Stegostoma tigrinum: one gene and its partner. The protein of the gene in region 2 purifies or fractionates together with the protein of the main gene of each other region. This does not show direct contact. Links are inferred from orthologs where the notes say so. Each region holds a gene or a part of one and is shown on either strand. Other genes may lie near its edges.

Evidence for each region.
Region 1: the proteins of pde4dip (region 2) and cAMP-dependent protein kinase type II-beta regulatory subunit purify together in Homo sapiens (affinity purification with mass spectrometry; 4 studies listed by BioGRID and IntAct, counting the BioPlex papers as one, with this or other methods). This does not show direct contact. The link is inferred for Stegostoma tigrinum from reciprocal best matches to the Homo sapiens genes PDE4DIP and PRKAR2B.

What each region holds. Positions count from the first base shown.
Region 1 is NC_081378.1:35,348,160-35,352,085, forward strand, and holds the start of cAMP-dependent protein kinase type II-beta regulatory subunit, read right to left. Parts: upstream 2,984-3,926; 5' UTR 2,806-2,983; intron 1-2,805. UniProt on the Homo sapiens protein: Regulatory subunit of the cAMP-dependent protein kinases involved in cAMP signaling in cells. Type II regulatory chains mediate membrane association by binding to anchoring proteins, including the MAP2 kinase.
Region 2 is NC_081361.1:47,560,077-47,564,002, forward strand, and holds the start of pde4dip (myomegalin), read left to right. Parts: upstream 1-1,461; 5' UTR 1,462-3,028; coding exon 3,029-3,926. UniProt on the Homo sapiens protein: Functions as an anchor sequestering components of the cAMP-dependent pathway to Golgi and/or centrosomes.

The DNA of each region.
Region 1 (3,926 bases), on a different chromosome or scaffold from region 2:
CCCTTCATCAGATGCTCTCTGATGAAGGGTCTAGGCCTGAAACATCAGCTTTTGTGCTCCTGAGATGCTGCTGGGCCTGCTGTGTTCATCCAGCCTCACATTTTATTACCTTGGATTCTCCAGCATCTGCAGTTCCCATTATCACAGTTAATAGCTGGCTTGGCTAACTCAGGAGCATTTTCAGGGGGAGATCCTACAATTTATCTGCCTCTCCCAAACCAGGGTTGCAAAGAACAGGAACGTAGGGCCATTGTGAAAACAAAAACTCGGAAGCAGTTCCTTAGAAAACAGGAAGGTGTCTAGAATCTATTGCAATCTAAATATATATGGCCCACAGATTCCTCAAGGTCTCAAACATCACAAGTAGCCTGCAAATGCATAAACCCACTTAATCTATGAATAGGTGGGACTGCAGTCCTCTTTTCAAGATATTTTCCCATTCAACTAGTTCAAGGATGTTGTCATACATCACTGGAACTTAAATTTAGGCCTTTTGGCTCACAGATATGTGTACTATCACTGCATCACAAGAGCCGTATCCTTGTTGCTATGCTCAGTCTAAGGGCCGAACTAATTAACAGAGGTGCAGATAGAGCAGAAGAGATACTTAACATGAAGAGACACTTGTGTTGCTCAACAAGGTGTTGTTTATTGCACAATAACAAAAGGTACAATTATCATGAACTAATTTGGGATAATTAAAGTGATCATGAGTCAGGTGCCTGCCTCCATTAGGAGCTTATGCAAAATTGTCCTGAGCAGTCTTGAGTCCTACCACAGTGGAGGGAGTGAGCTTGAATTGAATAAAAATCTGGAATTAAAAGTCTAATAATGAACATGAAACCATTGCTGGACAAAACCCAACTTGTTCACGAATGTTCCTTTACGGAAGGAAACTGCTGTACTTACCTGGTATGGTCCACATATGACTCCAGGCCATCAACAATGTGGTAGACTTCCAGTTGCTCTCTCTGAGCAATTAAGGATGGGTAATAAGTAATAACCTAGCCAGAAACACCCTCATCCCGTGAATAAATATAAATAACATGTCGGATTGTGTTGATTAAAAATATCTAGACATATTTATTTATTATTTTAACCAAACACTTAAACACATCCAATTTCCTGCCAATATCCAACTGTATGTAGAATTAATTCATTCCTGTCCTGACCTATTTCATCTTCTGGTCCTTAAAGCCTCAAATTGAAGATTTGTGTTGTGCATCTGTGGACTGAGAAAAACGGAGTCAGAATTTCAGTTCTTTGACCTTGTAGCAGAATGGAGTCACTGACTCGATAAGTTACCTTTATTTTTTTCTCTCCATAGATGACTGTGAAGTGGCTTGGGACATTTTCAATTTAAAAGCATTATTCATTGAAGCAATTATTATGATTTTAACTAGTTTCAAGTAGAGTGGACTGAATTAGTGATCCCACTACCTAAATTAAAAGAAGCAAAATTCTATATTCTCACTTTTGATCTTACCAAATATGTAGACCTAAATGTGGCCCTTTGATTCTGCCCACTGAAGACTCCCACTGAAACCAAAAACTTGGAAGCAGCTCTTTAAAAAAAACAGAAAGGGTTCTATAATCGACTACAATCTAAATATATACGGCCCACGGATTCCTCCAAGTCACAAAACTTACTTGGACTGCAAATCCACAAATCTACTTAATCTTAATTAACAAATACAATGAAAAATATATGCTTTCCTAATGTTGGTATAAATGATTCCATGGGACTGCAGTCCTCTTTTCGAGACATTTTCCCAATCATCTTGTTCAAGGATGTTGTTACACATTGCTGGAACTTAAATTTGGGACTCCTGGTTCAGAGATATGTGTACTATCACTGCACCACAAGAGCCCTATCCTTGTTGCTGTGCTTTGTCTAAGGGCCAGACAAGTTAACAGACATGTGAGACAGAGCAGAAGAGATCCTAAACATGAAGAGACACTTGTGTTGCATAACAAAGGGTAGTTTAGCTGCACAATGGCTCAAGTCTTCTTTGCAGAGGTATTTGTCCCGATGTTAAATTTGTGATGACGTTATAAAAGTTCTGAGACTCATGCTGACTGCTTGAGTTTCCTTGACTTGTAGGCCTCACACTCATGCCCCAAAAACAAAAATCAGGATGCATTCTTTTTCTGTTCATTGGATATTTTATCCAAAATTCAGATTCCTAGACACAGGACATGAGTGTAAAAGTTATAGGCTTTGTCAAAGTATATTGTGTCTTGCCTATTTACCATTACTTCCTTATATGCCCTTCAGTTAAGCTTACCTAGCATTCAATGAACAAAATCAATCAGAAATGTATGCTTTCCTAATGTTGGTATAATTGAACAATTCTGAAACATAGCACTATCGAAATCCTGTATTAAACAGCCTAGAAACAACTTGTGAATATTTTGTTCGGATCTTCACAATTTATGTCCATTTAAATTTTGCATATAACATTGAGTTAAATGGAATAAGTGTTTAAAAATAGCTTTGAGCCCTTACTCCAAGTAAGATTTCTGTTCCAATAACATATATAAACCCAACCAGAGTGCCCCACATACTTTCTTCCACAGTCCCCCTTCCCCAGGGGGAACTCATTAAGGATCTGCTTGAAATACAGAAGGACATTTGCTACAGTCTCTCATTTGTTCAATGTTTTCAGGGTATCATATCCCTAACCCCCTTAGAGACCCCCTTTCTGAGGCCTCGCACATACCATTGTTTGGTTCACTACAAAGAAAGATAGCAATTAAGACAGTTTCATACACTTTGTCAGTATTAACACAGAACCTACTCACCCCATTCAGGAAACATTCCAATGGCATGAGACTTATTTTAGCACTAAGATGTGATGTCCTGAAAAGTTACTTGGCATTTACCAAGGAATAGAATAAATATAAAACCCAGTAAACTTGACACATAGAATTCTTCAGAAATCATGTACGACATCTGTCATGTAATTACTGTGATTGCAGTATAACTTGCACTGCCATTGTTGACATTTCAGGATGATTAGCACGGCATTCTGGTGCTCATTAGAATAATAACAAAATACAACAGATGATATACCAAATTCAGGCACTAGAATTTTCCATGCAGTTGGTTGGCACACACACAGCTCAATTGTCCTTCCCACACACTGGAATAAATCATACTTTCCAATCAGCAGCTGCATGACTTCAGCTCGTTGAAACTTTAAAGTATCCAATCAGGATCCAACAGCGAGAACTATAATTTAGCATTTGACAAACAGGAAATGACCCTTTCGATTCCCATATTGCATCATGTTGATGGGAATCCAGATGTGTTAATTGGAAAATTGCAATCTTATGGCTCAAAAAAGTACCAGTCATCTTGCTTTCTCTAATCCATCTCCCTCTGCACTGTTAGTGCTTAGTTCTCTCAGTTACAATCCTTAAACTAATCCCAAATCTTCTGATGTAAAATGTCTTTGTTATATGATACAAGGATATTTTCTTAGGATGTAACTAAATATTTGCATCCTCTTTCAAAAACCCTTCAGGTATAGACCTATTGTTCAACTTAAACCCATTATTTCACCGATTGTTACAAATTTATATCTTCTTCAGATCTTTGCCTCCCACTCTTACACCACACACACGCATACAATTGCATTTCCACTGCGACTCTATGTTATTACTGCCTTCAAGATACCAATAAAAGGATTATCCCTTGCCTCTGATCTTCAACAATGACACAGTTTCTCTTCGAGATCCATCATCTACCATTTTTAACCATCAGTCTCTGTCCCTAAAAGATCCTGCTTGGATATTTGTGCATGACGACATCATCAGGAAAGTCTTTTCATCTCCCTCTATCTTCCAGAGGGACCACTCCCTTTTGACAAACCCACTCTTCAACAACCCAAACTTATAACGATAGGATTGTAATGAGGTAA
Region 2 (3,926 bases):
TAACACTACTGAGATAAAGAAATGAGGTAGGCTTTCTGAAAAAAAAACAGCCTGCCATCATGGCCAGCAAGCTTCTTAGGTCAGTAGGTACTGGTCTATCTCATCTTTCCAGATACCCCACCAGAGTATTGATCGTGAGATTTAAGCTCCTTTCTAATGAGACAAATCAGTTAATTCGGAAATCCCCCAATTCAGCTACCCATTTTAGCAGAGAAAATTTAGTCCTAAAATGTCAATTTATTTAAGTATGGCTAGGATTTTTTTGCTTCTTAGACAATCCTTTAACCAAGGCCCCATCTGCACCATCAAAGGAATTTTTAAAAAATCATATGGTACATCAAGGATGTGGAAAGTTTTATGGGGAGGAGCAGGTAGATAGAGTTGAAGCCTCAATAAGATCAATCATGGTCTCCTGAATAGCAGGAAAGAACTAATTGGCTAAATGGCCTACTGTGTTCCTGCTTTTTTTTGTACATACACAAGTGCTATCACATGCAACTTTCCCATCACCAAAATCACTGATTTTTTTTTCCCCTTTTTTAACCACCACCAGTAAATCATTTGGGTAGCCAATTAAATATTTAAATATAAAGCCTATGAAGGGCAATGCAAAACATCAAAAGTGAACAGGGGGTTACGGTGAGAGGGAAGAAGCCAAAAAAAGTCAATGGATTTGTGCATATGTTTGTCATGATCACTATTAGAATCAGTGCGTGTAAGGTGACCTAGCTCATATTTGTCCTTCAACCAATATCTCCAATTATCTGGTTATCTACTTTTCTGCTGTTTGTGGGGTCTAGCCTGTGCAAATTGTCTGATGCTAATAACTGCGTGTCAGATATGTTTTGCGCAAAATACTACTGGTGCAATAAATCTGAAACAAACATAGAAAATGCCAGAGGCATCGTCTGAATTCTGAAGACTTATGCTGGACTCGAAACATTAACTTTTGCTTCTAGCTGCACACATGCTGCCAGGCTTGCTGAGTTTCTCCAGCATTTTCGGTGATCATTCAAAACGTATTTTTGGCTGTAGGGTACAAGATCCTGCAAGAGACCGTAATAAAGCGTTTTCTTTTTCTTAAGCATTCCCAACTTAAGGTCAGAACGGCATGGAACAATCAAATGTATTGGGTTTTTTTTCTATGGATTACTAGAACATTTCTGACACTGCTCTGAACCTCCCGATTTTAAACCAGGACTTGAAGCACCCAGGTCATTCATGGCTTACAGATTTTATTTTGAAAAAGAGTACGAGACAAGGGATCAGTTGTATTTTTCGTGACTGCAGCGGGGAGTTTACCACAATGCCCGCCAACCTCGCACAAAACTATCTTTCAAGATAAATGCAAAAAATATTTTCCGATACAAAATTATCAAGCCAGGTTGTCGAAACCCGCGGTGTTTTCACAACATTTAACCCCTTATTCACAACATGCGGAAACAAATTTTTCTGTCCGATTTTCCGTGCGTGCGTGTGGGATGGGAGTTCGTTCGTGAGTAGGGAGCCGGGTCTTGGTTAGAGTCTTCCCCCCGACATGGGAAACCGAGCCGGAGAAAGATATGAGACAAGTGCAGAGCTGGAAGAACACAGCAGGCCAAGCAGCATCAGAAGAGCAGGATGGCTGAAGTTTCTGGCCTAGACCCTTCTTCAGAAAATTTATCTCTGAGAAAGATAATATTCCTCCAGATGTAGACGGGCTGCCGGGGCGGAGAACCGTACCACGATGCAGACGGGTGCGCGCAAGGGTTGATCGGTCCTTCCTCTTCGCCTTTGGAGGTTTTTTTCCGGTGGGTTACCTCCCGGAATTGTGCCTGATTGAATGCGGTTACTTTGTTGTCGGTCGCAGTACAGTACGTGATTGGGCATTGAGCTGGAGAGAGGCAGAATGTAGCGGCTTCTCCCCAGGTAACGGGTGGTTTCTCCCAGATGTCTGCCCGAAACAGAAAGTCAGACTCGGCGACATTGTTGCCACATCACTGCCGGGTTGGATAATTACAAAGCAGCAGTTTCCCGTCCCCCCTGACATCGCATCCGGGAAAGCCACCTAACGGGACGTGATTTAATTAATTTTACGCAGAATCTCTCTCTTTCAGTCTGCTCCCGTTAATCGGCCTCTGGTGCCTTTGTTTGATATTCAATGCGCAGTGCCTTCAGCCTCCGATATGAAACTACTCGCTCTCCACCACCACTGACTGAGAGCAGCGAAGATGACGACGGGCTGGTGACTGGTGATTTTTTTTTTTCTTTCTCTCTCTGGCCGAATTAATATCATACCTTGGGTAGTCAGCGTGCCCAGCGAGATGCAGATGTTTCTCAAACGACTCGAGAATAAAACGGGCTGGTATTCATTCGGCGACACGATGCAATGAACTCTTACTGGCATTGCTCGTGAACAGATACCCTTGGCCGAAATTTCTCGGAGAAAGATACTGTTTCTCTGAAACGTAGGAACCGCCGCCCACTTCTTCATTCACCTGTAATTGCGTTAAATTTAACCAGGATTGCCTTTAAACTGGAGACAAAGAAAATGAGGGAACACTCAATTATATAGGATACCGATTTTGAATTAATAATTTATTGCAGGGTATTTATGCTTATGGAACATCATTTGTAAAAGCGTTAATATAATACCGAGATTGGAAGTGACGCCGCCGACCTACGCCCTGAAATGCCTCCAGATAACGCCTGTCATTTTTTTTAAAAACCCTGAATAACTTACAGCCCAACATTAATGTGGGATGCAACGGCAGTGCACAGGAGCCTGTGTACATTTGGTGGCTTGCTTACAAGCACGGATTTTGATTGGCTTCCTGCTGGCCCGGTTGTTTGAAGCTTTGCTGCTGAAACTTTACCTATTTATCGATACAAACCAGCTAGCTTTTTAATTATTCTCCAGAACCCAAGGTCAAAGCCCACGTGAACTAAGTTTGTGACATTTCTCTTCATATTTAAACACATTGGCTGGTTGTTTTTTGTGTGTGTTTATTTTAGCTACTTCAGTGTTCAGTCAACTACATGCTGGAGAATGAAGGAGGTTTGTAGGATCTGTGCCCGGGAACTGTGTGGTAACCAACGACGATGGATCTTTCACACAGCTTCCAGACTAAACCTACAGGTTATCCTATCTCACGTACTGGAAAAAGAGGTATCTCGAGATGGCAAGGCAGAGTTTGCTTGCAGCAAATGTGCATTTATGTTAGACCGTATCTACAAATTTGATACAGTTATTGCAAGGATTGAGGCACTGTCCATTGAGCGTTTGCAGAAGTTACTCGTAGAGAAAGATCGTATCAAGTACTGCATAGCTAGTCTATATCGTAAAAATAATGAGGAGCCAAGTACTGACACCAAGGGGGAGGATGTTGCAGTGGGGAGCTCCAACCTACCTGATGTTCGGTATCATGCACTGCTACAGGATGACTTTGTATATTCTGGATTTGAATCATGGACAGAGCAAGGTGAGGAAGCCATGGAAACTCACAGTTGCCAGACTTCAGACACCTCAAGCTACAAATCCCGGAAGTGTCGCAGCTGTTCAGCCTTGCGTGTGACTGATGCAGATTATGAGGCAGTTTGCAGACTACCTCGCAAGTTGGCGAAGACTGTTTCTTCTGATCATTCCATTAAGTGTGGAAGTAGTGTGGTGGGCAGCACAACTGCTGAGGAAGGACTTGCAATGCCAGTCATATGTGAAACGGTGCCTGTTGGGCAGTGTGAGTCTAGGACTTCTGTCTATGCTGACTCACTGGATAAAATATCTCCAGCCTCTTCTGTTGAATCACTTGGTCCTACGGTGGAGTCTTGCTCTGGGCAGACCAATGAAGCAGCACAAGTAGAAAAATGTGCCAAAGATGACAGAAGTCCCAAATCAGACTTTTCAGATGGTCAAGGAACCCATCCTTTGTTGTATAGACAAAAACTAG